4 linked regions of the Oryctolagus cuniculus genome follow. The protein of the gene in region 1 purifies or fractionates together with the protein of each later gene. This does not show direct contact. Links are inferred from orthologs where the notes say so. Each region holds a gene or a part of one and is shown in the gene's direction. Other genes may lie near its edges. The genes, in order: USP49, FKBP5, CETN2 and CETN3.

Region 1 (8,011 bases):
AGATAAAGCTCAGGGGTCAGCGACGCTGGCATCCCATATGGGCACCAGTTTGAGACCTGGCTGCTCCACTTCCAGTCCACCTCCCCAGCTAATGCGCCTGGGAAAGCAGAAGAAGATAGTCCAAGCCCTTGGGTCCCTGTACCCACGTGAGAGACTCAGAGGAAGCTCTAGGCTCCTGATTTCAGCCTGCTGCAGCCCAGGCTGTTGTGGCCGTTTGGGGAGTGAACCAGCAGGTGGAAGATCTCTCTATAACTCTGTCTTTGAAGTAAATAAAACTTAAAAAAAAAATAAAGTGCAATTCCTGATTCTATTTTGCAGTCCTCATTGATGAACCACCTAATTATTAACTCTGAAGCTACAATACACCCTTTTTTGGTAGTTATTCTTTCTATTCCCATGTAACTCATGATTCTCAAACTTGTTCTCACAACCTCGTGATGTTTTTAAGATGCATTGAAAGGGCCAGGTGTTGTGTAGCTCAGCAAGCTGCCACTTGCTATGCTAGCATCTCATAGCAGAGTGCCTGTTTGAGTCCAGCTGCTCTGCTTCCAATCCACCTTCCTGCTAATGCACCTGGGAAGGCAGCTGATAATGACCCAAGAACTTAGGTTTCAGCCACCAAGAGACCCAGATGGAGTTCCAAATTCCTGGCTTCAGTCTGGCCCAGCCCCTGGCTGTTGTGACCATTTGGGGAGTGAATCAACAAATAGAAGATCTCTATCTCTTCCTCTCTCTCTTAACACTCTGCCTTTCAAATAAATAAATACATCTTTAAAAATAAAAAGTGGGGCCAGCGCTGTGGCGCAGTGGGTTAATGCCCTGGCCTAAAGTGCCGGCATCCCATATGGGCGCCATTTCTAGTCCCGGCTGCCCTTCTTCTGATCTAGCTCTCTGCTATAGCCTGGGAAAGCAGTAGAAGATGGCCCAAGTCTTTGGGCCCCTGTACCCATGTGGGAGACCTGGAAGAAGCTCCTGGCTCCTGGCTTCAGATTGGCGCAGCTCCAGCTGTTGTGGCCATCTGGAGAGTGAATCAGTGGAATAACAATAAACTCATCACATGTTAACATACATAAAATACTTTTATTGAAAAATAACTTTCTAGATGAACTTTAGTGATGAGTGGTATTTATATTTTGCAAATATCCTGAATATTTGGTATTATAGAAGATGGTTGGATTCTGATATCTGCTTTTGCATTCAATCTCTTGTAATATGTTGTTTTGGCTGAAGAATATGAACAAAAGTCTGGCCTCACATCGATGTGTATTATTTGGAAAAGGGGAGGAGTGTATTGATAATCTTTTGGATAGCCTTTGATACTGCATTAAAACTCCACTGGAGATTAGTTGCAGTATGTGGAATATAAAACTATATCAAAATAAATGTCTTAATATTTTATACTTTGAATGGATCTTTTATTGATGCATGATTTTGTAGCATCGTGCAAGGGTTATTTGAACAATACTGCTTATCTCCTGAATGTTGACACATTTCATTATATATATTTTACAAATCCTGTTTGTTAATATAACTATCAGCCCTTTTTTTTTTTTTTTTTTTTTTAAGATTTTATGTATTTGAAAGACAGTTACAGAGAGAGGCAGAGACAGAGAGGTCTTGCATCTGCTGGTTTACTCCCAAATGGCCACAACAGCCAGAGTTGAGCTGATCTGAATTGAGGAGCCAGGAGCTTCTTCCAGGTCTCCCACGTGGGTGCGGGAGCCTTGGGCAATCGCAATCCTCTGCTGCTTTCCCAGGTACATTAGCAGAGAGCTGGATTGGAAGTGGAGCGACTGGGACTTGAACCAGTGACCATATGGAAGCCAGCACCACAGGCAGAGGCTTAATATTACACCACGGCTCCGGCCTGAGTCTTACCTTTGCCAAGAATGGTGTCAAGCTGAACGTTGCTGACTTTGCAGAAAATGTCTTCCAAATACTTGGTGAATAACTCTAGGTTACCCGTTAGCTGTTGTTCCAAGTAAAAATGGTGTTCCATAACGAAAGCTGTTCACTCAGCTCAGAACTCAAAAAAATTACACATGTATTTTTTCTCAAAGCAAACATCATACCCAGAAGTGCTTCATGCATACATCCATCCATTTGATCAGAGAGAGTGGTATTATTAAAAATATATACACTGGGGCTGGCACTGTGGTGTAGCAGTTAAAGCCACTGCCTGCAGTTCCAGCATCCTATACGGGCACCAGTTCGAGTTCCAACTGCTCCACTTCCGATCCAGATCTCTGCTATGGCCTGGGAAAGCAGAAGGTGCCCAGGTCCTTGGGCCCCTGCACCTGCGTGGGAAACCCAGAAGAAGCTCCGGGCTTCAGATCCAGCTCCGGATATTGTGGCCATTTGGGGAGTAAACCAGCAGATGGAAGACCTCTCTCTCTGTCTCCGCCTCTGCCTCTCTGTAACTCTGCCTTTCAAATAAATAAATAAATGTTTAAAGAAATATATAGTTTCACAGACCTTCTTAAGTGAAACATATATGTTTTTACAGTGTCAGTACGTTTTATATCATTGCCTTGATTTGTGCTAAGGTAGAAGCAACTTTACCGTTACTTTTTTACCATCATGCAAATGTCATCACAGAGAGAATAGTTTTGATCGCAGTGGCTGCCTTAAAGGGTCTCGGTTATCCTCAGGGCTCCCTTCCCAAGCCACACTTTTGAGAACCACTGATCTAAAAACATGCTCAAAGCACTGAGAATTTGTTCCCCTTGAATGACTTTTCTGCCAGCAAAATTCTTCACCGAACAAAGCACCTTGATACAATCTCTTCTTCAAGAATTTTCTCAGAGGTTGGCAAGTAGACAATTCAGGAGTTACAAAGTAAGAACTTTGAATGGTTGTAAGACAACAAAGGGAGTACTCTGAGCTCTTGAACCACAGGACAAATCCTGACCAAAGGAAACCAAACCACTCCACATTCTCCCCTTCAGGCAGACCTCTTTGCCCTCAGAAGTCCTTTCACTGTTAACTTGGCCCCAGCCGCTGCGGTTTCCTCCCACCTTTGTTGTTCTTTGACTTTGGTGCTTCCCTGTCATACTTACATATGGTAGCCTTGAGCGACTGGAGCTGATCATGTATGTTTCTTTCACTTGTCCTTTTATGTTCACTTGCCTTCCCATGTGTCTGGTTACAACAGTGTTGGTGTTACACTGTACCCCGCAATTTATGCCACAGACTGACCAGGAAGGGAGCCTTTTGTAGAAAGAGCTGCTGTGCCGTCTCCATCCCCAGTCCCCTAGAAGTCCTTAGGGACCACTCCCAACTCAGTCTGGTTTATTTCCCAAGCCCCTGATCTGCTGAACTTTTTTAGTTCACCGGCGAAGTCCTAGTCCTCAGAGGGATTTCCATAAAACAGCTGAATCCCGCCTGGGTCATCAGTGGCATAAGTCCGACACGTGCTCGCCCGCCCGGGAGCCAATAGTAACTCACAAACGCTATCTTAGGAAGCCTCCCAGTGCCGTTGGCTGATTCTTTGGGAACGACAGCGTTAAAAAAAAGAGCAAGTATTTTCCCAGAACAAAACAAAAACAGGGTAGTGAGGAAGGCGTTGCCCCTTCACAGTATGGAGAGATGTTAAAGGTGGGCCACGAAAGGTACGTGTAAAACTCCCGTACTGTACCCCGGAATGACGGGCAGGGGAAAAGGGGGCGGAGATGGTCTCGGGGGTCTGGCCCTTTAAGGAGGAGGGGCGGACATAAGACTCTGTACCTTTAAGAGTCTCTTTGTCTGGAAACCTTCTTATTTACCCTCCTGTGCTTCAACCAAACTTCGTCCCGCGATTCACAACGCCGGTCTACGCCGCCGTCCCTTACGCCAGGCTCCTGCCGGCCGCGCGTTTGTGGCTGACCCTAAACTTTGCGCCCAGGGCGCGAACCCTCCTGGAGAGTCTCGGTGCCGGGGTCTGGGCCCAGCGCTGCGCCGTTGGCGCAATGCGGGGCTCGAGGGGCGGGGCTCCGGCGGGCGGGCCAATGGGCGGGCAGGGGGCGGGACCGCGTTCGGTTGTCTCGCGCCCTGGTGACAGCTCGCGCGTGCTGATGATGGCGGTAAATAGAGGGGGGCCCGGCGAGGGGGCGGAGGCGGTGGGCAGGCAGCGGAGGGGGTAGCTCCGGGGGGTGGGGGACGGGGACGGGGACGGGGAGGCCGCGACGGCCTGGGAGCCCATTCTAACACGCGGAGGCGGGGACAGGAGGCTCCGGCACTCCAGCCCTCCCCTTTAAAGAAGCAAAATCCTCACACACCGGGTGAGGGGCGACAAAGGCGGTGCGCGCCTCGCGGGCGGGAGGAGTGGCGGCAGGGGGCGGGACCGCGGCGCCGGCGGGCCGGGGGCGCCCGGGGCGGGGGCCGGCGGGAGGCGAGGGCGGGAGTAGGGGCGTGCGGGCCCTTCGTTTTGGCGGGGTGGGCTACGATTGGGTTTGGGGTACAAGCCTTGAGGCAAGAGCGGAGGGGAGGCTTGGGTGCTTCTGAGGGGAACCGGGCTAAGAATGAGATGAGGATTAAGGGGAGAAAGGGTTAGAAGCCAGGGAGAGCAGGAGTGAGGAAAAGCCAGCCCAGGAGGCACACAGCAGGGTGGGCGTCGGGGAAGCCCGGGCAGGGTTAGGAAGATCCGGGCTGGGCGGCGGGCTCCGGGGTTAGGTGGAAGCGCGGGGGTGTATCGAGGTGAGGGGTGCTGGGGTGGGAGTTGGAAGCGAAAGACAAGGAGGGGCAGCCCCGGGTTAGCAGTAGTTGGAGTAGGGAGAGAGAGAGTGATTAAGAGCCAGACGTGACAAGGGTGTGAACTAGTGCAGAGCGAGATGAGCTGAAGGACCGGCGGTGGGCTGGGGACCGCTGGCGAGGGTCTGAGAAAGGTATGGGTTAGGAGGTGGGCAGTGGGCGTACATTCTGGAAAGTGAGGGAGGGCGAATGAGACCCTGGACTGGAACCAGGTAGGGGCAGGAGTAAGAGCCTAGTGGAAGGGCGAGAGGCTGATGAGAGATGGGGTTTTTGTAAGACAATTCCGGGACCAGAAAAGCCGACAGAGTAAAGGTGTAAGAAGTGATGGCGGTCTGGGACCAGGGTAACTGGGGAATTACGCTAATGGAAAAGCTTCCCCGGGATCCACGGTAAAAAAAAAAAACAAAAAACAAAAAACAAAAAAAAAAAACAGGTGGGGAGAGGGCTACACGCAGTCGGCGAGAGGGGCAGGGTGAGATGGGCCCCCGCGTGTAGAGGATGAGGTGGGGGAGTGAGGCGGAGAACCGGGTGAAGGGACACTGGGGGAGTCCTGATGGATGTCGAACTCGAGTAGAGCGCGCAGGGCGGGAATCGAACGTGCGTGTGGCAGGGAGAGGCTCCAGAAGGCGTGCGAGGGTCAGGGCCGGAAGGCTGGCGTGAGGGACCCAGTGTAGGGAGCCCCTGTGCAGAAGAGGAGGAACCATGGTGAGTGAAAGGGGACCTAGAGGCAGGGGTGAACGCTAAAAAGTAAGGGCGGAGGCGGGGGTGGGAGGGATGCAGGAAAGGAATTCTTTGTTGGGAACTGTGTGTTGAAACTGTGAGTCCTTTTGTCCCTAAAAGTAGGAAATTCCAGAAACCTCTTTCTCTCTTCAAGGAATCTTAGATCCGCTTCCACCTTTAATTGCTTTTGATTCGACTTTCACGTCCACTTTGAAAACATGAGACCCATTTTGATTTGATTTCGTTCCTGTGTGAATGATCAGGCATGAGCCTGGGGTGTTGAAAACCTCTGCATTTCACCAGTGTTGTCATAATAGGAGAACGGGCTGTGTTTATTTACAGGGCGCCTGTGTAGTGTGATAGTTTTGGCATTTTAGCAGCATTGTACCTGACAGGCGCTTGGGCTGAGTGCTTTATCGACAGCATTTTCATCTTCCATGGAGAACATACTGCTGTTGGGATGGAGAAAGATGAGAATCTGTTTTGTTTCGATTAATCAACCAGCTTTCTGCTGAGTTGTTTTCAGTGGCTGGAGAATATTGAAAACTCATTTTAGAGAAAGGCAAATAACCAACCAGGGAAGTTTACTGGGAGAGAGATTTAAATCAGGGCTGTGAGGGTATTGAGCTCCTAAGCTGCCTTTAGCTTTGTGTGGGACGTCTCATACCATAGTAGAATTAGCAAAATGGAATGATGAGAGGGAGAATCATGGATTGGTGGGGAATTTTAGAGTGATGGACTTATCTCCTAGGTTAAACAATGAGTTTATGAGAAATTTTTATGAAGAAAATTCCCTGTAAGATTGCAAGCCTTGTCCGAGTGGAGGCTTGGACAGCTCCACTGCCCCCTTGTTTTATGGTTGTAAATAAAGAAGGATGTATTAATTACTATTAATTTTTCTAAAAGCGTTTGGTATTTAGGACACTTGGAAATTAAAAGGAAGATAAGAAATTTGGGCAAAATTTAGGTTATTCTTACTTGGTATTTAGTTTTAGTGATTTTTATTCTGAAGCTTTTACATTTAGCTGAAAATATTACTTTGCATTTGGTGGAAACAAAGGATAGCACATAATTTACTTAGGATAAAAATGTACTGCTCTTGAATCTTATTTGGAGTATTTCATTAGTTTATATTCAGAAGCACACACATACTTTTTTTCATCAGAGTTGTGTAAATTTTACTGTTTTGTGGGTGCTTGTATACATAGCTAAGTTAGCTTTGCAGCACAGTTAGCAAAAATTGGGTTTTGATTTGTGGATATCAAACATTGGTTATTGATTTTTGTGAATAATTTAGAATCATAACTCTTTCTGGATTCAGCTGCTGACTCTGTACATGGCATAGTATTTAGTTCATGGTTTGTTTCATGGATTCTGTTAAATATGTGTTCAAGGTGACCAGATTGATTTGGAAATTTAACAGGGACTTTTAAAAAATTACTAGTTTTGCTGCTAAGTTTTAAGAGGATTAATCTGAAAATGTTAACTTTCAAGATGAAAAGTAACTTTGATATGAAACACCTGTTTCTGTGAAATGTGTATGCATATTCCCTCCTGTTGTAGATGTGTTTGGTCTGACACTAGTACTAGGTTGTATTATGCATGTATGGTACTGCCATTTTAAATAATGGAATTGTTTTTAATCTAGTATCTTTATATAAATTATTTGATAATGGAAAGGAAGAAAATATAAGGTCAACTAATATAGAATGGGTCCTGCCTTTTTTTTCCTGTATGGAACCAATATGTGCTGAACCACTGATTCTAGTTGTGAATGGTTAGTTCTCAACTGGTATTTCTAAAACCAAAAATGGATTTTTTTCATTCTGATAATACTATTTCTCAGTAAAGACTCTAATGACAAACTCAAGCTTTGTTCTCATTTATTGATCAAGTAAAATTCTACCCAATTTATCTTGTCTAAAATCTTATGTGCAAAGCAAAGGGCTTTTAGTTTATCTTTTCAGGTTTGGATGGGTAGGTTGTACGTAATTCAATATTTTTCTGGTTAATCGTAGGGTCTTTGGATGGAAAGAGATCTTGACAGAACCTCTAGTTTATCCTGCAACTTCAGTCAATATCTTACTTAAATCATCCAGGTAGATAAAAGTTTATCCTGTTTTCCTATAAATCTTCAGCAGTGTTGTGGCAGCCTTTGTAGATAATCTTTCTCAGCACTTGATGATGGTCTCTCTGGAGAGTCTGTCTTCCGTCCACTTGCAGACACATAATGCTCTATCTGTATTTCTTATCTTTCCCCATTCTCAATTTTTGAGTAAAGAAAATATCTGCTTGCTATGGTATTGGTAAGACATTAGGTCTTCATAAGCTTGATAATAATGGCTAATCCACGTGTAATGCTTGTGTTCTGTTTGAGACACTGATGAAACACTTCGTAAACTGTAAATCATTTACTCCTCACAGCAGTCCTCTGAGGAAGGTACTGTTACTATCCCTGTTTTACATGTAGTGAAATACAGCGTTCCTGAGATTAAGTGATTTGCTCAAGGTTATACTCAGACATTTCTTTAATTTTTAAATTTTTATTTATTTGATGGACAGA
Region 2 (7,712 bases), about 5.8 Mb from region 1:
ACGTTCAGTCTTTTACCATTAAGTGTGACGTTAGCTGTGGGTTTCTTGTAGATGCACTTTATCAGGTTGGGATGGCTGCTTGTTTTTGTAAATAAAGTTTTATTGGAACACAGCCATGCCACTTGTTTATGTACTGTCTATGGCTGCTTTGCCTTATAAGCCTAAAAATACTGCCTGACCCTTTAAGAACAAGTCTGCTGGCATCTATTTTAAGCCACTAGATTTTGGGATAGTTTGCCATGGAACAATATATTACTGAAAGAACTCAATCTTTGGGACCTCAAAGAGTACACCATTGAGTAAAGGGGAAACATGAAGAAATAAACCATCCCGCAGACGATAGCCGGCTTCAAGTCGTCTGGGTGGATCAGAAAATCTGGAGCCCTAAAACTGAGTTAAGGTGATCCCAGGCTGGTAACGCCTCCAGATGTCTGGCGGAAGCAAATGGAGTTTTTTACAGAGGAAGACATTATCATCCAATGATTTTTCAAATACGATCTCCAAAACACAATCTCAAATGATTTGAGCAGCTCCAATGACTTTTTCAAATACAGCGTCCAAAGCATAATCAGATAAATGAGCCAAGACATGAGGAAGAACCAGTGGTAAAACCAACAATGGAAGCCAACCCCAGATTGGGATGATCAGAAACAGACCGTAAAGCAAGTATAGTGACTGTGTCTAAGAAGAGAAGAGCAAGCTTGGAAGCTAGGGCAGGGTACAGAGACACAGGAAGCAGCATCACAGATCTAAGAAAGACACATGGAAATTCTAGAACTAAAAACCAGACTAACCAAATGGAACTCAATGGATGAGTTCAAAAGATTTTTTTAAGCTGAAAAGAGAATTCTAGTGAACTGAAAAAAACAGAAGAAACTCATTAGAACAAAGCATGGAAGGACAAACGAAGGAAGACACAAAAGAAAGGAAGGACGTGTTCTAACACGTGTTTCAGTGGAGCTCAGGAAGACGAAAAGGGACAGAAGTAGTATTTGAATACGTAATGGCTGAAAATGGTTCAAAACTGATGAAAAGCTACTCAAAAGGTGCTAGGTGGCCATGAAAGGACAGATGTCCACCCCACCACCTGTTCTGATCTTAGCGAATCCTGCATGTACAAAGCTGCCTTTGAAAGGACCAGAAACCAAAGTGGAGACAGCTCCACAGCAATGCAATGGGGCTCTGTGGGCTGAGTTCAGGTCCAAGTGCTGCCCTTTTCTAGTGCCACCTGGAAACAGTTGCCAAACTTCAGTGTTCTCGAATAATGAGAACAGAAAGGCATACTGACCTTCCCCGCGTTGCCACTGTGAGAATCCAGCGACACAGGCAGGCGAACCGGCCTAGTGCATGCCAAGTGCTTTAAAAATGAGATGTGGTTTGAGCAGCAGGACAAGCAGGCCCAGGCACACTGATGGTGACAGGCACAACCAGGTACAAAATTTGCAGGACTCAGTGCAAAATGAAAATGCAAGGCCCTTGGTTAAAAAAATTACTAAGAATTTCTAGAGATCAATAACAGCATTAATCCGAGCACAGGTCCTTTCTAAATTTTGGGCCCTTGTGACACACCCATGACACCAAGCCTCAGTGACAGGCCCTGCACAGATTGGCTCCATGCATTAGGAAAGGGCTACACCACCTCCTCCCCCACCCCCCACCCACACCCGCCAGGTGTCTGCGGCCTTGAGTTCTGAAGGGGAGCGAGGTTTAGTTGAAAGGCAAGCAACATGTTTCCAAATGCAAAGGATCCTGGGCAAGCCTGGTGACCAGAGTGGTTTTCTGGGGGAGTGGGTGCAGCCACCCAGGCTGCTATCTGAACTATGGAACTGAGTGTTCCCCACAGACTCTGGCCTAGAGGGAAAAAAAAAAAGGCTGCAGCTGTATCTACAGGGCCTGTTGTTATTTGCCGCGGTGTGTTACAACATAGCCTGGCAGCCTCACCGGCCTTTCTGTCTTCCTCCTGGAAGAGCCCGGTCCCGGAGCATGTGACCTGTCCACACGGCCCTGCAGACCTGCCCACTGCTCCTCGCCCTGCCTTTGCCCACTGGGCTTTCCCAGGTCTGTGCGCTTTTTTGCTCATGCTACCCCTGCCCCCTCAACACACACATGCTCCCTGCTGGGACTCCCTTTCCTTCCCTGTCTACACCCCTCTCTTTGGCAAGAGCCAGGTTTTGTGTCACCCCTTCAATGAATCCTCTGCCTCTCCCAGGAAAAGAATCCTGGGACCCCTCCTTCCCGGGAGCCCTCCACGCTGCCCTGTGCAGATCCCATCTCAGCCCCTGCCGGGTGAAGAACACTCAGATGTTCAACGTGATGTCCCTGTGTCCTAAAGTGAAGTTCTTGGAGCTGAGGCAATTCCTCCTCACTGCTGCATAGCCAGCACATAGCATGGTGCTGAATACTTGCTGTTTTTTAAGCATGGTAGATGCCTGCTGAATCAGTGTTAATATGCAGAGTAGTTTTGATCGACACTATCTGAATTAATGCATGAATAAATGGTTTCAGTGACTCTCCCTGGCAAAAAAGAGACGCTTCTAGACACTGAGGACCAATGACTGAGATAAGGATCCTTGAGGAGGTCTCAGGGTTGACTCTATTTGCCTTTTCTACAGATATCACTTTTTATTTCTATTTATTGGAGAGGGAGGGAGGCAGGGAGAGAAAGAGAGAGCAAGCCAGTACATTCCTGGACCAGGAACTGAAAGTAGGTCTTCCAGGTGAGTGTCGAGGACCCAACCCCTTAAGCCATCATTGCTGCTGCCTCCCAAGGTCTGTATTAGCAGGAAGCTGGAATTGGGAGGGAAGCCCTTGCCAGGTATGGATCCTACCACTCCTGGGGGACCTGGTGCCTTAACCTCTCCGCCAAATGCCACCAACTTTCTACCCACCTCCAAATCTTGAAGCACCAGGCAGCATGGTGACTGGTTTATGGGAAGGGCCTTTTACAAAGACTTCAGTGTGACAGTGTGCAAAGCCAGGAGACACGGGTTCTAATCTGATTAGGGGACATCAGATTACCATAGGCAACTATCATGTCCCATAGGTCCCCAGTTTGAGACTTCAGGTTTCTGTTTCTTCAAAAATGATGGGGCTGAGCTAAAGATTCCCTAAGGCCCCCCGCCGCCCCTGCACCCCCCCCCCCGGGGGGGGACAGCGTGGGGGCCGCAGGGTTCTCACGGTCCCTGGGTATCCAAGGGAGGTGCCGCGTGCTCACCTGGTTCTTGAGGCGGGATGTTCTCGGGTCCGACCTAGCATCTCTAGCTTCCCGAGTTAGTGTCCTGGAGCTAACCTGGACTGCTAATCTAACGCAAACAGCCCGACCTGACCCCTCTCCCGCCACAGACCAGGCCCGCAGGACAGACAGACACGGTACGGCAGTGGGGTCAACGATCTTGCTTGGGCGTTAGTTTCTGTGGAGGGAAGGGCTGATGTGAGGGGGTGTCGGTCAGCTTCCTCCATCCATTTTCTCCAGCCCCCACAAAGGGCAAGGGCCAGACACGTGGGCTAGTGTGGGGGGGCGGAGATGCAAATAAACGTGGGCGGGGCCTTATTTGCATGGACCGCGCGCGGCCACCAATCCGGACACGCGGAGCGACAGCCCGCGCGCCTTTTGGGGGCGGACTGACAGCCCCGGGGCCCTATGGAAGGGGGGTCCTGCGGCCGGCGGGGGCGGGACCATGCCGGGCGCTGCCCTGGGGATTCGGGCCGGCTCGCGGGCGCTGCCAGTCTCGGACTGCGGTGTCCGGCGCGCGGGCTGCCTGCTGGGCGGGCTGAGGGGCGAGCGGCGCGCGGGCGAGGCGGAGAGAGCAGGAGCTGGCCAGGCACTGTGGAGACAGGTACCGGCGCCATGGCCGCAGGGATGAGGTGGGGCGGCCGCGGGGTCCCGAGAGCCCAATTCTCTCTTTTCAGGTTCTGCCGCTGCCCCTCACGCGGCTCCCCAGCCCGGGAGGGAGTGGCGCGAGGGGCTGCAAGTCCACGAGGTGAGCGCCCGGGGGGCTCCCAGCCCGACTGCGGGGGCCGCCGGGCCGAGGCTCCCTCCGGGGGGCCGCGGGAGCCGCTCTCCGCCCGCGCCGCGCTCCCCCTCCCGGTCGCGCCCGCTCGCCCTCACTCGGCTTTTGTTTCCCGCCCGGGGTGACAGGTCCCGGCTCCGGCTGTCGTCGGCGGACCCGGACTCGCCCGAGGCCCGGCGCTGCGGGACCCTCGGAGAAGCCGGGCGGCGCCCGAGCAGCCGCAGCCGCGGGCCGGAGCGCAACTTGGCCTTCCGGGACCGGGGCGGCCGGAGGCCTGGAGCCCGGGGCTGAGACGAGCGCCAGGACGCCGCGGGCGCGATGGAGACTCGCTCACCTGGCGGGCCCGCGGAGGGCGAGGATAACGGAGCGCCCCGGCCGCGCGCGGGGTGGCCGCCCGCTGGGTGTGGACGCGGGCGTGCCCCGCCGTCACCTGCCGCCCTGGCGCTCGTGCCTGGGAGCCGCACGGCCCCTCGGCGGGGTGCGGGCGCCGCGCCGCGCTCACAGGTGACCCGCACTCTGCGGTGCGGGCCGAGAGTTGCGGCCGGGGTGGGTCCTGGGACGCTTGCGGCTCCGTCCGCCCGCCTTGCCGGCCGTCCCGGGAGGCGTGCGCCCCGGACGGCTTGCAGAAGCCGCGTGCAGGACCCGGGCGCTGCAGGCTGCCTGCTCCGGGCGCAGCCGCCCTGTGCGGGGCGGCTTCGGCGGCGGCGGCGACGGCTCGGGCAGGTACAGCCTGGAAGGGGAGCGCGCAGAGCCCCGCTGCCCTCCGCGGGCCGCCGTGCAGTCCGTGGTTTTGGATTCGCTTTCTGGGCTGTGCTTTCCAGGGGAGTGAGGCGTAGCTCTGAATGGGAGCTTTCTTCGCTCTCTGACCTGGACTGTTTGCTTTCATTGTCTCCCCGCCTTGTTCGATGGGGGACCCGGGAAGAGTTAGGGCGGATTCGGGGTAGGGGTTTGCAGCCCCCCTGCCCCCGCGTTGGGGGTCTTTGCTTTAGAGAGTCAGAGGAGCTGCCTCTCTCGGGATGGGAGTCAAACTCCAAGGGTCGACCTGAAAAAAGGCCTTACCCTGGTGGGAGCTTTTTGTCCTGTCGTACTTTCCCTTAGCGTTTCCGTTTGTGTGTCTGCCTCCCGACCCCTGCCTAACCCGCCACACTTAGCCCTGACCAACCTGGGCATGCTATACAATTGTATTTCTAAAATTAGGTCACTTGTGAGACACACGGGATCTGGTGTGCTCGGTTTTTATGTTTTAAAGCGTCTTGTTTGATGCACATAGTGGATATGTTTGACTGCCTAGGAGCAGCGTTATTAACTTTGATTTAATTTGCTTATTTACCTTGCTAATTAGAATTATGTAACAGTTAATAAGAGGTCAGAACTCTTCAGCCAAAGTTGTGACTACTTCAGTGTAAAAAAAAAATAAAGATGATCTTTATAAATTGTTTTATTTCTCTGAAGCAATAAACTTAGATAACGGGGGTCTTTAAAAGTTCACAGAAATGCATATTATGAAGAAACTGTGTCTGGATTTCAGAATGTTTTGTACTGAAATAAATTCATCTTTTAATTCCACTTTTCCGTGAACTTTTTGAACTTCCCACGTATGTTGTAAGGGCTTTGTCTTTCCAGCATTTTGTAAAACAGGTATGTTTTTTGGAATCTTTAACTTTTTTTATTTATGGGAAATTTGAGTGCATTTCTTTTTTTTAAAACAATTGTTATCAGTTCAACATGAAAAACTTAATGAATTAGGCAACTAATTAAGTCTTTAATTTTCTGTTTACTCTTGAATTGGAAAAAGAATCCATGTTTCAGGCTTTTTAGTTTCCTGCAGGCTTCTCTACTTAGAATGGATTAGTCCGGAGAAGAACATCCTCTTTGTACACCCGCAGAAGTTATTGCTGTACAAGCTGAGCTGGCTTTCGGATGCTTAGGAAGGGTAGAAAGAACAGTGGCTTGTCCTCACATAGAATGGGTTTTGCCTTTACAAAGTTATAAAGGACTTTATGACACTTGGGCTTTCATTGTCTCTCGTTATTTATTTAATTGCTCTTTAGTGTAAAGGAATACATTTAAGTGCTGTGCTGTTAGAGCGTTGATTGTCCTTATCCTGTGATGGTGCTTTAATATGCCAAATATCGTCAAGTTATGTCTCGTAAGTTTGTTTCCACAAAAGTATATTTTAGGTACTTTAATTATGAACGTACCTTAAAATTAAAACCTATTTTAAAATTCAGTTTTTGCATATTTTAACTACTGAATTTTGTTCACTTTAATTTATCAAGCACATTTTATCTTCAAAATTAAGCACAAGCTGAATTCTCACAATAAACACTGGCAGGTTTTTTTTTTTTTTTTAAGCAGTTACCCTCAGGTACGGCTCCTTTTGATTGGGGGCTGGTGGTGCGAGTGGTAAATATTTTTAAGTGAATAACTTCACAAAAAAACAAGGACTTTAGCTAAATCCAAAAGACAGATTGAAAAACACTGTTACAAACATCAATACTGCTTTATTTAATAGAAACATGCATTTTGTACCTGCTATTAGGAATGTCCTCCATAAGCTTTTAATATACTTTTTCACAATTCCTAAGGAAGAATCTATATTGTACTTATTTTTTAAAATCACATTTTCATCTGAAACAATTTTAACACATTAAAAATGTTAGTATATTTATTTGAGAGAGAATGAGAGTTTCCGTTTGCTGGCTCACTCTCCAAATGCCCACAACGGCCTGGGCTGGGCCAGGCCGGACCAGACCTTAGTGAAGCAGGGAGCCCAGAGCTCAGTCCAGGTCTCTCATTTGGGTGTCAGAAACCCAATCACTTGAGCCAGAAATGCTGCCTCTTAGGATCTTCATTATCAGGAAGGTGCAGCCAGAAGTCAGGACTAGATACTGAACCCAGGTGCCCCTGATGTCATTTTTATTTTTTAAGATTTACTTTATTTATTTGAAAGGCAGAGTTACACACACATACACACACAATTATTTTAAGTGCTGATAATTACAACCTGTTAGTAACTTTTTTAAAAAAGATTTATTTATTTATTTATTTGAAAGTCAGAGTTACACAGAGAGAGGAGAGGCACAGAGAGAGAGGGAGGTCTTCCATCCACTGGTTCACCCCCAATTGGCCGCAATGGCCAGAGCTGCGCCGATCCAAAGCCAGGAGCCAGGAGCTTCCTCTGGGTCTCCCATGAGGGTGCAAGTCCTTGGGCCATCTTCCACTGCTTTCCCAGGCCATAGCAGAGAGCTGGATGGGAAGTGGAGCAGCCGGGTCTTGAACCACCGCCCATATGGGATGCTGGCGCTTCAGGCCCGGGTGTTAACCTACTGCCCAAAAGCGCTGGCCACAGTAACTTGTTAATACATATAGTCCTACTATAAATTCTTTTAACCTGCCTCATTTGGCTGATTTTTTACAAGGTAAATAAAAGTTTCATTTGCAAATTAAATCACACTTAGGTCACTACTGTTTTAAATCAATAATTATATGATTTATTTTTTTATTTTTTTTTATTTTTTTATTTTTTTGATAGGCAGAGTGGACAGTGAGAGAGAGAGACAGAGAGAGAAAGATCTTCCTTTGCCGTTGGTTCACCCTCCAATGGCCGCCGCTGCAGCCGGCGCACCGCGCTGATCCGATGGCAGGAGCCAGGATCCAGGTGCTTTTCCTGGTCTCCCATGGGGTGCAGGGCCCAAGAAC
Region 3 (7,711 bases), on another chromosome or scaffold:
ACTTGCCACGTCCCTGTGTTTTGGTCAGTGGTTTGTATGTGCTTGTTTGGTTACTTTAAAAGTCCCTAGCTTTGACTTTGGGGCGGGCCACTTGGAAGCTCATCAGCAGGCCTGTGAGCTTAGCATATGCTGTTCCCTCTGCCTGGAATACCTTCTGGCCCCCTCTTCCTTCATGGCCTAGCTCCACCTTCCTGTCAGTGAAGCCTTCTCGCCCTCCCCAGGAGAGGTGAGCTGCTTCCTCAGCGCCTGCTTGTGCTCTCACCCTAACACTGAGCACACTGCATGATGCTTTTTCTCACTCCCATCTTGGCCCACTAAGGTTGGGGGCCCCTGCCTGGAAGAGAGGAGTGCCTACACTTACGGAGACTCACTGTGCAGGGCAGGAGACAGGGAGACTCACTTATGCAACTCTGTAACTGCTGAGTCAGGTGAGTACCGGAGGCCTTCCAGGAGCTAAAGAGGGTGTAGGCAACCTAGACATTCCATAGCCAGGGGTGGGAAGGGCAAGGTGATGGCACAAGCCAGCATGCTCTGCTAACTGTAACAAAGTGTGTCACATTGAGTGTGATGCAAGATTTGGAGCAAAGTTCAGAACATGCAGTGACCATGTGCCACTGGAAGTGGTAGGCAGGGGTAAGTACTATGATCAGAAAGGTTGTTTTGGCTGCAGTGTGGACAAGGGATTCTAGCTAAGCTGAAGGCTTCAGGCATGCTAGGTAGGGGGCAAATCTGAGAAAAGAACTCACATTGCCTACAGACCTACTAAATGTCAGACCCTTTTATGCAGGAGAACATTATCTCATTAAGATCCAAAAAGCATCCAGTTAGACAGTTCTGATTTCATTCAACAGATGAAAAATTGAGGCTCAGAGAGGTCAAGTGACTCATCGAAGGTCACACAGCCTGGACAGAGCTTGTGTTTGTCCCTTCTACTTTGTTAAATTGCCACCCCACAGACTGACTGGGAAGCATGGTGTGAAACGACATGAAGCTAAAAAGGTTAGCAGGGGCTGAGCTGGGCAGGAGATTCATATGGCCAGCTGAAGGTTCTGAGTTTTACTCTGCAGTTATGAGTAGCCTCTGAAGATTTAAGAGCAGGGGTAGATCCGACTAGAGCTATTCATGGCAGCTTTTAACCTGGGGGTGCAGGGGCCTTCTCATCAGTCATCCAAACTGCCTACAGTGTACTCCATGTCTGATGCAGGCACTGAAGCACCAGCAGTGAACAAAACAATGAAGTGTGCCCTTGGAAAGCCTGCTCTCTAGAGAACGGGCAACAAAGAACGAAGTAAATAAGTACAGAGCGACAAGTACTATGGGGAAGATGTATACTGGGAGTATAGTACTAACCAAGGTGCTTTGAGTAGCCTAAGAAAGCTGAGCAAAGACATGGAAGGGTGAATGATACAAGACCAGCAGGAAGAAGATAAAGTAGGTATAAAAGTTCAACGCAGGAATGTGCCTGGCATTTGAGGCCCAACAAAGAAGCCAGTGTCCTGGGGAGAGAAGGGGACCGCAGTGAGCCAGGGCAGAGGAGGAGAGCAGTTTGGAGGTTGAACCAAGGTTAGCAGACCATGGTGGGAACTCTGGCTCATACTGGCTGGGAGGTGGATGATGAATGCTAGAATTGAGAAAGGAATACAGGTGGAAAAGAGAAAAGAAATGGCATTTAATGGGCAGAACTGATAGAACTTAAGAGACTAGATACAGGGGAGAGGGCAGGGAAAGTTAAACATGAACACAAAGTTTTGAACCCAGTTCACTGCTGTAAAGAGGAAGAGGGCAAAGAGTAGACACTCCTCTTAAGATGTGCTAGGATGCCTCAGGCCTTTTGAAGCCAGAGAAACCTCTGCTCTGTCCTCTGCCTCCCCAGATAACCGCCTCAATGCCGCATGAGTAGGTGCAGCTGAGACCCGTGGAGCTGTCTAAGGAGGGCAGACTCCAGTCCTTTTGCAGTTTCAAGTCAGCCCTTACCATTACTCATGCTCCCCTGGAGATCTTCTTCCACAATTCCCGTGACTTTGCTCACAAGGGTGTCTCGGCCTGGAGTTCTCCTCCCTGACTGCCTTGAGAGTCTGTGTCAAAAAGAGTGTATTTTGAGACAAGCATGAGGAGGAACCTCCTTCACGTCGTTCAACACCCATTGTCAAGGTCTCCGACTCACTGTACCGGGCTGCTCCTGGAACCTGCTGTATTCTCTCAAACAACCAGTCTACGTGCCAGATGTCAAACCCTCTGCGACGACACTCAGCACGCCCCTTCCCCTGTCAGGGTCTCAGCTATCCTGTGAGTAAGTACAGTCCCAGCTCCCACACGAAGGTCCTGGGATCTTCCTGATGCCCTTGTTCCTAACTCAGTCTTAGGCCAGACCAGAAAACCACTGCCACTCAGACCGCCCCGCCTAGTCCTTCGCTCGCCCGCCCTGCCCTGTCGCCGATACAAAGCGGCTTCCGAAGCCTACGTGGCGACTCTTACCCTTCGGTCCGTAAATGTCCCCCGGTTGATCTCAGCTAGCCCGCCGCCGACAAGGACCGAGCTCCAGCCTAGGAAGGCCACCCTTTTTTCCCCGCCTGTGTGAGCTGAGAATCAGCCGAGCTCCTTCTACCTAGCGGATTGGCCGGGCCTAGAGTCGGCTCAGCCAGTCGGAGCTCTCAGCGTGATGTTGTCCAATGAGAGCAGGTCTCACCCTCCCAGCGCACCGCCCCCCGCCTGGGCCCGGGCTTTGTGAGGTTAGCCCTACCCACTCCAGACGTAGACCAATGGGGAGCGCTGGAGGTGAGCCGGCAGCCAACAGGGAGCTGGGCCGCGCGCGCGGGGCGGTGGGAATGGCGCCGAGTCGGTGTGTACGTAGGTTGCCGTAACAACGGGCAGCGGAGTGCGTCGGCTATGGTGAGTGCTGGCTCCCCAGTCCGGCCTTGCACCCAGGGACTGAGTCCTTCTCAGGGCTGCGGCCCCGCCACACCACACTGACTCTCTTGCTCACCTTTAGTGCACTGATCCTTCCTTTGAGCTCTTTCCCGGAAGGGTAGACACGCCAGCCACCCCGCTGGGCCTGCGCTTCGCCCTAGCCTCCCCGTCATGCACAGCGGGCCCTTACCCGTCCCTCGGGTCCCCCTGGCTTTCTCTACCCGCCTCGGGGACTTCCTAGGCAAAGAAGAGGGCCCAACCCCTCTCAGATCCTGGCCCTTTCAGATCTTGGCCTCCTCTCTCTGCCAAACTTCCCCCACCTGGGAGGAGCTTTGTTATGTTCTGATTGTTAACTTGTATTTTACAATTTAAATATGGGCATTCCGGAGATGCTTTGAGCATCTTGGGGAGGGCATGAAGGTGCCAAATAGATTGTTTTACTATTTGATATGGACAGAACACTTATCTAAACAACTTAATAATCTTTGGCCAAATCCAGAAGTAATCGGAAAGTCAGAGTACCTCTTGGGAAGCCTAGTACCGCGAGGGGTTGTTTTTGGAGCCAGGATCCCCGCGTTCAGGGAGGGCAGTACTCACTTCGAGTTATCTACAGTCACTTCCTTAGCTAACTGCCTCGGAGTGATGTATCCGAAGAACAAGGGATCTCTTTGCTTCTAACAAATACTACTAAAGAAAAGGGAGGGAGAGCGCTTCACGGGAAGTTTCATTCTTTCCAATAAACCCCATTATCTCTTGTTGAGCAGAAATTGGGAATTGGTTGGTATAAATTAGTTTTAAAAGAGATAGCAGTGTCTGTAACTATGGACTGTATTACATAATAGTGTGCTCATGTGTTCGTATAATTTCTACAGGCCTCTAACTTTAAGAAGGGAAACATAACATCTAGTTCCCAGCGGAAAAGGATGAGTCCTAAGCCTGAGCTTACTGAAGAGCAGAAACAAGAAATCAGGGAAGCTTTTGATCTCTTTGATGCTGATGGAACTGGGACCATAGATGTTAAAGAACTTAAGGTAAGCCCTGCACGTTCTTGCTATACTACCTCTGCTTCTTCCTTACCCTTTCTCTGTCACAACTCTACCCCTTTTGCCCTCTCCTTCCTGTAAAAACTAACAGGGCTGGGATTTTTGTGCTCTCTTTTCCTGTCTTTTATTATGCCAAGTGTTACTAAATAAAATTGACAACAAAGGTCAGTTACATCAATGTTTATTCTGTAGTCATTTTACCATTATTATGGTAGATGTTGGCTTAATATTCTCAACACTTATATTTGCTCCTGCTAGATTCAGATATGCATATTGAGACATTCCTGTTTCCTTACAGGTGGCAATGAGAGCCCTGGGGTTTGAACCCAAGAAAGAAGAAATCAAGAAAATGATAAGTGAAATTGATAAGGAAGGCACTGGAAAAATGAACTTTAGTGACTTTTTGACTGTGATGACTCAGAAAATGGTAAGTTAGCTGAGATAACCATTAGCATGTTTTTTACTCATAGTGATAGATAATGTCTATCTATCTAGAGTAAATGCAAAAATAATTTTAAAATAGTGATAAAGTCTATCTATCTAGTCTAGATGTGAAAATGACCTAATTGGAGAAAAATTGACAAAGATTGGAGAATTCATCTGATAAAAGATAGTATTTTTGACTGAGAATTAGCCTAAATTCTCTTTGGCTTTCTTCAAGGTCACAAACTAATGAAGTCATTTCACCCTTTGTAAAGTAGCAAAAGTGTCATTTTTCACTGTTTTTCCAACTGATATATCTGTGATAAACCCAAATAGAAAAACTGTAGACACCATTCATTTTTAAATGCAAGGTGGAGGGTTAGGGAATGAATCTAAGAAGTTGATTCCCCTGGAAGTCCCTCCTTGGCATTTGAACTAGAGCAAACTCTGAACAGGAGAACACAGCAAAATACCAGGGCTTAGCATGCCAATGTGCAGTGTCAGGTTCACTAGGTGTCTCAGCAGCTGCCTCTAATTCTGTTCTTTGTCTTCTTGGCTTGTATTGTTGTAAATGGGGGGGGGGGGAATGGGCAGTGGTGGGGCTATGGAACACGGGTAACCATGGTGTTTTCCTGATAATGCATTTTATGTTCTACTTGTTAAGTCTGAGAAAGATACCAAAGAAGAAATTCTGAAAGCTTTCAAGCTCTTCGATGATGATGAAACTGGAAAGATATCATTCAAAAATCTGAAACGCGTGGCCAAGGAGTTGGGCGAGAACCTGACAGATGAGGAGCTACAGGTTTGTCATGTGTGAGGCTGGAACGGTGAATTCCCACCGTTGAGCCCTCTGAGACTTCTCTGCTTTTGATTTTTCCCTGGTGGGAAAACCTCTTTGAATGAAAGATACTGTTCTTTGGCCCCTTTGCTAACAACGTAACTTTCCTTTGATAGTCTGACAATCCTATGACCCTGCTTCCAGAAAAATGCATGTGTGTACAGTTTTATTTACTGTTTTAGGTTTTGGGAGTCCTTCTGGTCAAGTCCTTCGAACTTCCTTCCAGGTGACATGTATGACAAAATATGACTTGGTTTTCCAATGACTCTTCAAGAGCCAAGTTATTATAATGTATCGAGTAGACTACAATTGTCTATTCAAATAGCAATGTTAAAGCCTATGATGTAGTCACCTTTTTGTTTATTTTATGAATTAATGTTCTCTGAATCTTTACTGTCATGCAGGAAATGATTGATGAAGCTGATCGAGATGGAGATGGAGAAGTCAATGAGCAAGAGTTCCTGCGCATCATGAAAAAGACCAGCCTTTACTAAGATCCATGTCGTCTTTTCTACTGCAAGCACACCTAACTAGATTTAGTGCCTGCCATTGTGTAAAATCTGGCTTTTGAGAACACAAACTATTTTCTCCTGCACTGACCTCCCTACATAATTTTAGTTATGGCCTCTAATCTATTTCAGACTTTTAAAGTGTTCTTTGATACTCAATCTCTTTGTAAAATGACCTGCTGATTACTTGAGTTCTCCAAAGCAGAATAAGAGCACATTGGAGCGGAGAAAAGGGTCTTAAAGCATTGCCCACCTTCCATTTGCCTTGCATTGCTTCGCTCTTGTCATATATGTCACAGAGATGCACACTGAACGACTTCTTAGACAAGCACATGTTGTACCCATGTCACCAGAAGCACTGGTCGTTTTTCAGTGGTTCTAGTTTCTAGTTGATACCAGAGTGTAATCTTCTATTTTATAAAACCCAGTGAACTCTTGCATTGGCATTTGGATGTATGTTAATGCTATTTGTTTTGTCTTAAAAATAAAACCTTTCTTAGTCTGAGCTTTTGTTTAAGGATGAGTTCTTTATCCTTGACTGTGAGTTCATCTTCTAAGGTATCATTGAAGGCAGCTTGGTACATACAAAACTTACAACCTTTTGGATAAAACCAGAATAGTCCTTTGCTAATTTCCTGGTATGGATTGTTTCTTGCTTTGGAAATCCATGAGTTTGTAAAACTCATAGACTTTCCATTTCGCCTAAGCTTAAATGATGCCCTGCAAAGAGTTTTGACAAAGTATAAGTCTGGAAAAAAGAATCTTGTTGAGGAGAGCCAGTTTGCTGTGACAGGCCAGATGCAGCTAATCTCTGGTGAGTTTAATTGCTTGCAGTGTCCATTGTCCCTTGAAGTTGGGTTGAGCTGAGTGTCCTGACAGTTGCCCTCTTGGCCTCTCACAGGATTCCTGCAAGAGAAGCCCTGGTGGATGGCATTAAAGCCTCTGCTCCAGGTAGGTAGCAAGAATGGGAATGGAAAATGGGATGCTCAGTTATCCACATGTAGAGAGGGTGGGAAAGGGCTTTTAAACTTCTGGGGGCATCTTAGCCCCCTGGAGATAGGGTTGCCTGATTTAACTAATAGAATGAGAACACCTGGGTACATTTGAATTTATGAATAGTACTTTTTTTAGTGTAAGTGTATCTCTTTTGCACTTTGTGTTGTTTACTCATTGTTGATCTGAAATTCCAGTTCACCAGGGCATTCTGTATGTATTTGAACTGCCAACTCCACCTGGGGAGCATCCCCACACCCTGGCCTCTTGGAGGCCTCAGGCACCCAGGGGTGCGGGCTTTACTGTGTTGCGCAGACATATCTCATGCAGAGGGACTGCTTTTTGAGAAATACTGAGGGGAAGGAACCCAAACTGGTCTCATACCTGGGTTTTTCATGACCTTTAGCACCTCCTGGCCAGCACTTTGGAGCCAGTTACTCTAGATGCAATGGAGAGAACAGAGTTGCTTGACTCAGAATTGCTGGGCTGTAATAGAAACTTCAGGACCTGGCTTTATGGTGGATGTTGAAGAATGAGGTGTTGTGGGGATGGCGCTGTGGTGCAGTGGGTTAATGCCCTGGCCTGAAGTGCCAGCATCCCATATGGGTGCCGGTTTGAGACCCGGCTGCTCCACTTCCAATCCAGCTCTCTGCTGTGGCCTGGGAAAGCAGTGGGAGATGGCCCAAGTCCTTGGGCCCCTGCACCCACGTGGGAGACCTGGAAGAAGCTCCTGGCTTTGGATCAGCACAGCTCCTGCCATTGTAGCCACCTGGGGAGTGAACCAGCGGATAGAAAACCTTTCTGTCTCTACCTCTCTCTGTAACTCTGTCTTTGAAATAAATAAAATAAATCTTTAAAAAAATGAGGTGTTGGAAAGATGTCCTGTTGCTGTTTTCTACTAACAGGCACATGAGCTGATAAAAGACATGCAGTATTGGAAATGAAGGACAAGATTGGCCCTGCCTCCCATTTTACTGTAAACAGTAGCCCTGAAAAGC
Region 4 (7,938 bases), on another chromosome or scaffold:
TAGTACAGAAGGACAGTAGCCACCTTCTCCTCTTTTCATTTCGACTGTGAAAACACAGGGACCGCAGTCAGTTCACCTTTCCTATACCATTTCTGAATTTGCTAAAGATATACTATAGCAAAGGAAGAGTGCTGAAAGATAGGTAGTATGAGAAATGGTGGTGGTTGGGGTCAGTGCCAGTTCTAGTCCCAGCTGCTCCTCTTCCTTTACCCGTTACGCCACAGCACCTGCCTCCACTCATGTTCTTTAAAAATAAATTTTCTATTTTACTTTTAAAAACATTGGGCTGTATAACTGTGCTGAGACAATACATTTGTCTTGCTTTTTTTTTTTGTTTCCTGTTTTTAAAAAATATATTGTATTAACTATGTCTTAGGTTGAGTTCTTTAAGGAAGTGACTGTGAGATCTGCATAACTGGGGTTTACTGGGGCAGCGTCTCAGAAACAAGACCTGTGGGGACTGACAGAGGCAGAACTGGGCAGAGGGAACAGGGGCGCTGTGATGCAGTCAAAGCAGAGGCCTCAGCCAGCTCTACAGGGCGCCATGATGTTGGAGAAGCCCTTCCCCTCAGAGTTCACCTGGATTGAGGCCAGGAAGCCAGGCTCTTCCCTTTCATATTGGCCTGTCTTTGGATAAATTCTGCCTCCAGGGAGACTTTGTAATCTGGCTGAAGGCACCTACTTTTGGGAAAGGGCAATTTACCAGGAGGAACTGAGCTGGGTGTTTTCAGCTGCCCAAATTTCTGGAAGCTGGGGGAATAGGTTCTTTGGTTCTGAAGACAGGAAGGCGGGTGGGCTATAGCACTGACTACAGCCTGATAATGCATTATTTTAGTTTATGTCATTTTAAAGCCATGGTATTCTTACTAACCTTTATTTTTAAAAAGAATTTCTAGTTACATTAGTTTTTCTTTTACAGTGAAGAAATATTTCTTTATCAACTCACTGAACATATTTAAGTTCTCTTTATCCATTTCTGTCTATTGGTTGGAATCCATTCAGCTTTTCTTCCCTCTAGGCCTACTCCATCAATTTATTTTAAATCTCTCATTTTTCTTTTTTCATTGATTTAGGAGGTGTATTAATTTTCTATCATTGCTATAACTAATTACTATAATTTTAGTGCCTTAAAACAACACTTGCATACTATGTTTTTTTTTTTTTTTTTTTTTTTAAGATTTCTTTTATTTATTTGAAGACAGAGTTACAGAGAGAGGTAGAGACAGAAAGAAGGGTCTTCCATCCGATGGTTCATTCCCCAGATGACCTCAACAGCCGAAGCTGTGCTGATCCGAAGCCAGGAGCCAGGATCTTCTTCCGGTCTCCCATGTGGGTGCAGGGGCCCAAGGATTTGGGCCATCTTCTACTGCTTTCCCAGGCCGTAGCAGAGAGCTGGACTGGGAGAGGGGCAGCCGGGACTTCAACCGGTGCCCATATGGGATGTCGGCGCTTCAGGCCAAGGCTTTAACCCACTTCACCACAGTGCTGCCCCCCCGCCCCATTTCCTTTCTAGCTGTTGGCCAGAGGTCATCTCAACTTTTAGAAGCAGTCCATATCTGATTCTATAGATTTCCTGTGCAAATTATTTCTGTGAAATCCATTTTGCTATTATTATATCTTATAATCATTGTTCTCTCAAATGTGATGATCAGCTACTTACTGAATTCTTTTTATCAATTCCAATAGCTTCTTTGGTATTCTTGGATTTTCCAGGTGTTATATAATTCATACACAATGTTAATTTCATGTGGCACTTCTTCCCCTTGTTTTATTGCATCATTCATGAGAATTTCAAGGATAATATTGATAACCATTTTAATGGTTTCTGTGGCAGACTTGCTAATCCCATTTTATGTTTAGTAACAGATGGTATGACCTCATGTTTTATCAGGGAACATGGCATCCAAACTAGAGAGCTCTTCTCAGCCTCCCTTACAGCAAGCAAGTAGTGGCCATGTCACTAGTTTCCACGGCTTAAATGTGAAGAGAAGTGATGCGTGTGACTTCCCTATCATTCCCTTAACAGGGTATGGCACTGACGACATTTGACCTTAACAAGTAAAAACACATTTTCCCAAATTACTTGTCCACAGTGTCATTCTCTATGAAATGACCATAAGCATCTCACAAAACTCTAGTGTTCCGGGGATCAAGGTTGAGAAACCCTAATGTTCCATTCTAAGTGTGTTATTCAGCATGGTAAAAAAAAAAAAAAAAAAAAAAAAAAAAGCACTGTCCATACCTGCTTTATTAATATGTATCTTAGAATGAGTAAGGGATATTTTGTCCTTGAGATCATCTCGGTTATCTAGCATTATGATTATTTAATAGATTTATATGTTGAATTCTTCATAAACACACTCTATTTAATGATAGCGAACTGTGTCGTTAAGAGGACACCAAACGTTTTGCTAACATCTAGGACCCAAAGGAACATCAACTGCAGCCAGCCACTGGGGACACAATGAATGACGTGCATAAACTCGGTCGCAAGTGAGCCTGCGTAGGATGCTGAGGGTTGGGTTGGCCGCAAAAATTAAGCTCACGTCTCTGAGAGCACCTGCACCGGTCTCCTCCCCGCCATTCCCTACCTGGGAGCTGTCCACACGCCGGCCCGCAAAGGATTCGGGGAAAAAGCAGCTGGCCAATCTAAGGGGCCGGAGGGCACGGGAGAGGCGGGCACAAACGCTCCTTTGACTGACGCTAAAGCCATCCAATGAAAATAGGGCGTAGTGCCGAGCGGGGCACAACCTTAGCGGGTTTCGACCAATCCCGCTCAGAAGTGTCTGTCTTCTGGGCGGGGCTGGTGGTGGCAGCGGCCGTTCGCGTCTGTTGAACGGCTTGTGGGAGTCCTGCTGCTTCGGGCCAGGGCATAAAGTCTCTGAGAGGAACGTGTCTGTCCGGGGAGGAAAATGAGTTTAGCTCTGAGGTCGGTAGTCGTGAGGCGGCCGCGCTCCCCACGCCGCGGAGCGGGCCCCGGGCGTGCTCGCGTGCGTGTGTGGGTGTGGAAGGGAGGCCGTTGGGGCCGAGGTGAGGAGGGGGCTCGCCGGCCTGCCAGCCCCCAGCCCCCCGGGAGTGCAGAGCCCTGCAGGTGACCGGCCCGGCGCTCGCTGCCGAGGTGGTCGCCTGTGGCCGCGCACGGGGCTTTCGGCCTAGGGGGGTGGGCCGCGGGCGTGCGGTGCTGCGACCCCGCCCACCTGGCCCCCGCACCGCTGCCCACGGAGTCGCTCGCCCGTGTGCCCCCGGCCCCGCCGAATCGGAGACCCGCCCGGAGTCGGTGTCTTCTGTCCCGACCCTAGCCCTCGGTCTGTGCCCCACCCCACCCCCCGTGTCAGATAGCCTTGAAGGCAGGTGCTCAGAGACTGTGTTCCGCCACGGGTGGCCCTGGCTGCGGTCAGGTGTGGGCGGGGTCCGGACTTGCCCGCGGGCAGTCCGGGCAGGGGAATGGCTGACCCCGGCTGTGCCCAGGTGTGTGTCCACTCGGGTCTCTTGGGGAAGGTCTTCCTCAGCTCTGACGTACTGCACCTGCTGTCATTTGGTAGCCATCCCTATTGCCTTTTTTTCCCCCTTAAGATTTCAGAAACCAAAATAAGTTTTTTGTTTGTTTGTTTTTTTTTTTTTTTTAAAGATTTATTTATTTGAAAGGCAGAGTGAGTGACAGAAAGAGACAGGGAAAGAGATCTTGGATCCGCTGGTTCAGTCCTCAAAGGGCGTCCATGGTTGGGGTTGGCACAGGGGGGAGCCAGGAGCCCTGAACATGGCAGTTCACCTGAACATGCCACCCTCCTGGGTGGCAGGGGCTCAAGCTTTGGGGCCATCTTCCGCTGCCTTCCCGGGGAGCAGCTGGGACTCAGGGTTTGTGTTCCTTGGACCTGAGAGGCAGCCCTACCTGCTGGGCCACGATGCTGCCCGCCCCCCCCCATGGCTTTCACATGCAAATAAGATGATCTGTTATGAGACAATCAACTGGTTTTACATTTAGAATTTTTAAAACGTGTTCTTACAGAATTGGTGTTCTCATTTGAAACTCTGAAGCACTTCTACATCTGTCTCAGATGGAAGACATTCCTAACTTCCAAATAATTTTGCTTTTCATTTTCTTTACTCTTTTCCAGAGTTATGAGAAGTTTGACCTATAGTTTATAAGTTAAATGAGACAAGAATTTTCACATTTTTTGGAAGTAAGCACAAATGCTACATACCACTTTTTGATCTTTTAACATTCATGATATATTTAGACTCACTGCTTTGTTGGCTGACATGTTAATATTGATGGAAGAAACTACAAACAAAGTACCTAGATGTGATCCAAAATAGTTTTGAACTTACAATGCCAAAATATAGGTTAATTGATAAATTATTTGGCACTTTTTTGTAGTAATCTTGAAAACTTAATTACAAGAAATATACTGAAGTATAATAAATATTTATGTTGATTGTCAATTATGAATTCTACTTTGATTTGGATTTTTTTCCACTTTTGCAGAATGATATAAGTGTTGATTTGGTTTTGATTGAGGTTTTTGGTCTGAAAGTAATATTTCTGACCATTCTTTTTTTTTAAGGTTTTTTATTTATTTATTTGAGAGGTAGAATTATAGACAGTGAGAAGGAGAGACAAAGATCTTCCGTCTGTTGGTTCACTCCCCAGTGGCCGCAACGGCTGGAGCTGTGCTGATCTGAAGCCAGGAGTCTGGTGCTTCTTCCTGGTCTCCCATGTGGGTACAGGGGCCCAAGGACTTGGGCCATCTTTTACTGCTTTCCCAGGCCACAGCAGAGAGCTGGATTGGAAGAGGAGCAGCTGGGACTAGAACCAGTGCCCATAAGGGATGTTCGCACCACAGGTGGAGGATTAACCTACTGCGCCATAGTGCCAGCCTCCTCTGACCATTCTTGTTTCTGAGTTGGGAGGAGGGAAGGTTTGGTTCCCCCCCCCCCCCCTTTTTTTGAAACGTATATGAAAGAGTGACAGAGACAAAGTCAGAGAAATCTTCCATCTCTGAATGGCCGCTATGGCTGAGGCTGGGCCAGGCTGAAGCTAGTAGCCAAGAACTCCATTCAGGTCTCCCATTTGGGTGATTGAACCAACCACTTGAGCCATGCCATAGTTGTCTGCCTTCCCAGGTGCATTAGCAGAGAGCTGATTGGAAGTGAAGCAGCTGGGACCTGAACTGGCACTCATGTGCGATGCCAGTGTGGCAGGTGGTGGCTTAATCCATTGCATTGTGACAGTGGCCCTTGTTCCCCATTTCTGTCAGAGTTTCGGCTTCATACTGGGAAGTGTACATTCATAGAACTGTGGACTATGGAACAAGCAGGATGTCAACTCATACAGAAAAAATACTTTATCTTTCTTCAACATATTTCCTTTTTGGAAATTTAGAAAGTTGTTGATTGTTTAGTTTGCATAAGAGAATACGATTAGAGTGGACTAATGACTTTTTTGTTTCCATTTTATAGAAGTGAGCTTGTAGTAGACAAAACAAAGAGAAAAAAAAGAAGAGAGCTCTCTGAGGAACAGAAACAAGAAATTAAAGATGCCTTTGAACTTTTTGATACAGACAAAGATGATGCAATAGATTATCATGAACTAAAGGTAAAGTATAAAGTATATATTTATCTGTTAAAGTGATTTGCATTTTTGACAGCTTTAAAATACATTTATTTTATTTATTTTATTTTTTTGACAGGCAGAGTGGACAGTGAGAGACAGAGACAGAGAGAAAGGTCTTCCTTTTCCTTTGGTTCACCCCCCAATGGCCGCTGCGGCCGGCGCACCGCGCTGATCCGATGGCAGGAGCCATTTGCTTATCCTGGTCTCCCATGGGGTGCAGGGTCCAAGGACTTGGGCCATCCTCCACTGCCCTCCTGGGCCATAGCAGAGAGCTGGACCGGAAGAGGAGCGATCAGGACTAGAACCCCGTGTGCCGGCGCCGCAGGTGGAGGATTAGCCTATTGAGCCGCGGTGCCGGCCAAAATACATTTCTATATAATTATTGTAACTGAACTGGTTTTGGAACTATGAAATCTTTTTAAGCATTCGTAGTTAGGTGCTATAGTAAAACAGAACCCCTAATGCAGTTGTATGAAAACGTTTTTGCATGGTAAAGTGAATGATATTTTAAATGTAAAAATACATTCCTATGAAAGATGGTTATTTTTCATTCACAAAAGTAATGGATTGGAAGCTATGGAATTTAAGCAGCTCTTATCATTATCATTCTTCCTGTTGGTTTTATTTAGATTTTGGTAACTCATGCTTTTTTTTTTCATACTGGGAGAGTGGGTTTTTAAGCTTTTAATTTAAACATGTTAGTAACACAATCTCAACCTACTTTCTGTAGTGCATGCATAATAAGTTGTTTGATGTTGAACACGTGCTAATGGAGAAAGATGTCAAATTCAAGGCTTAAAATTAGTTGTGGTGAGACACCAGCATCTTACATGTGTGCCAGTTGGAGTCCCAGCTAGCTGCTCTACTTCTGATTTAGCTCCTTGCTAAGACACTTGGGAAAACAGTGGAAGGTGGCCCGAGTACTTGGGACCCTGCACCTATATGGGAGACATAGATGGAATTCCAGGCTCCTGGCCTAGCCCAGCCCTGGTCACTGTGACCATCTGGGGAATGAACCCAGGATGAAAGATCTGCCTGTCCCTCTCTCTCTGTAACTCTGTCTTTCAAATATAAATTTTTTTGAAAGAAGTATTATTTATTAAAGATCTAAGGGGAAATTGGTATTTAAGGTTGTGTGGTTTTTACATTCAGCACAATTTGAAAAACAGCACTTTTGAGATTTTTAGTAGCCTTAATGGGTAGGTGAATAACTATCAATGTTCGTTTTGCGGCTTTATTTCTGGTAACTTTGTAAGGGATTTTAAAGGATTTCAGGTGGGGTAAGACATATGTAATGACAGGTTGGGATGTACGTGTGAAAGCAATACTAGGTGTGTTAAGTGCAACTTCCTTAGTCTTGCAGTCCTCTCTTTTCTCACATTTTAAAGAAATTACTCATTTGAGCAATTCTTCCATTATAGTGTCTCTGCCATTTGTTGCCATTGGTGTCTTGATTTGTGTGGGGCTATACTTCGTTCCTGGAGCCTCCTGAGTGGTTCCTTCACTTCTAGTTCACATTGTACCCTATCCTTAGATTTAGATCATTCTCAAACTCAACATATTGTTCAGTGCTCATAAAACTTTACTGATTGCTCATTGCCCATAAAGTTCAGATTTACTTGCTTTCTGTTGAATGCCTTCTGTATCATCTGCTTTTCTCATTTGCTAACTGCTTCACTCCATCTGAACTCTTCCCATTCAGGTGAGACTGCTCTGTTCACTGTTCCCCAACCCTATTCTTTGTTTCAGTGTCTTTTAACACCAGCCATGCTTTCTTTCTTTCTTTCTTTCTTTTTTTTTTTTTTTTTAAGATTGATTGATTTATTTGCAAGGCAGAGTTACATAAGAGGGGTGGGGAAGAGAGAGATTGAGATTGAGATCTTCCATACACTGTTCACTCCCCAGATAACTGCAACAGTCAGGATGGCCCAAGCCAAAGACAAGAGCCTGGAGCTTCCACATGTGTGCAGGGGCCCAAACACTTGCACCATCTTATGCTGCTTTCCTAGATGCATTGTCAGGGAGCTAGATGGGAAGTGGAGCAGCAGGGACTTGATCTGGTGCCTATGTGGGATGCCAGCATTGCAGGCGATGGATTAACTCGTTATGCCACAACGTGGGACCCCCCCCCCCCGCCCCGCCCCGCCTCCCCTTTCCCCGCAACCATCCTTTCTACATACCCACTACTACTCCTTGTCTGTCCACCAAGAAACAACTTGAATGCCTCCATATAAGACTGTAATGAGTAAAATGTCTTTCTTGTTAGTAGTGACAAAATCTCTTTTCTCTGGCTTCAGGGTCCTGGACTGTTTATTTGCTAACTG

The links.
Region 2: the proteins of USP49 (region 1) and FKBP5 purify together in Homo sapiens (affinity purification with western blotting; 4 studies listed by BioGRID and IntAct, with this or other methods). This does not show direct contact. The link is inferred for Oryctolagus cuniculus from reciprocal best matches to the Homo sapiens genes USP49 and FKBP5.
Region 3: the proteins of USP49 (region 1) and CETN2 purify together in Homo sapiens (affinity purification with mass spectrometry; 3 studies listed by BioGRID and IntAct, with this or other methods). This does not show direct contact. The link is inferred for Oryctolagus cuniculus from reciprocal best matches to the Homo sapiens genes USP49 and CETN2.
Region 4: the proteins of USP49 (region 1) and CETN3 purify together in Homo sapiens (affinity purification with mass spectrometry; 4 studies listed by BioGRID and IntAct, with this or other methods). This does not show direct contact. The link is inferred for Oryctolagus cuniculus from reciprocal best matches to the Homo sapiens genes USP49 and CETN3.

What each region holds. Positions count from the first base shown.
Region 1 is NC_091436.1:128,001,540-128,009,550, forward strand, and holds the start of USP49 (ubiquitin carboxyl-terminal hydrolase 49), read left to right. Parts: upstream 1-4,003; 5' UTR 4,004-4,061; intron 4,062-4,079; exon of another isoform or gene 4,080-4,259; intron 4,260-4,892; exon of another isoform or gene 4,893-5,433; intron 5,434-7,466; exon of another isoform or gene 7,467-7,547; intron 7,548-8,011. UniProt on the Homo sapiens protein: Deubiquitinase that plays a role in several cellular processes including transcriptional regulation, cell cycle progression or innate immunity.
Region 2 is NC_091436.1:133,765,563-133,773,274, forward strand, and holds the start of FKBP5 (peptidyl-prolyl cis-trans isomerase FKBP5), read left to right. Parts: upstream 1-3,671; 5' UTR 3,672-3,836; intron 3,837-7,712. UniProt on the Homo sapiens protein: Immunophilin protein with PPIase and co-chaperone activities. Component of unligated steroid receptors heterocomplexes through interaction with heat-shock protein 90 (HSP90).
Region 3 is NC_091453.1:131,265,593-131,273,303, reverse strand, and holds CETN2 (centrin-2), read left to right. Parts: upstream 1-3,106; 5' UTR 3,107-3,321; coding exon 3,322-3,327; exon of another isoform or gene 3,328-3,684; intron 3,685-3,779; coding exon 3,780-3,938; intron 3,939-4,248; coding exon 4,249-4,377; intron 4,378-5,037; coding exon 5,038-5,175; intron 5,176-5,615; coding exon 5,616-5,705; 3' UTR 5,706-6,225; downstream 6,226-7,711. UniProt on the Homo sapiens protein: Plays a fundamental role in microtubule organizing center structure and function. Required for centriole duplication and correct spindle formation. Has a role in regulating cytokinesis and genome stability via cooperation with CALM1 and CCP110.
Region 4 is NC_091445.1:13,135,280-13,143,217, reverse strand, and holds the start of CETN3 (centrin-3), read left to right. Parts: upstream 1-2,769; 5' UTR 2,770-2,912; coding exon 2,913-2,929; intron 2,930-5,460; coding exon 5,461-5,596; intron 5,597-7,938. UniProt on the Homo sapiens protein: Plays a fundamental role in microtubule-organizing center structure and function. As a component of the TREX-2 complex, involved in the export of mRNAs to the cytoplasm through the nuclear pores.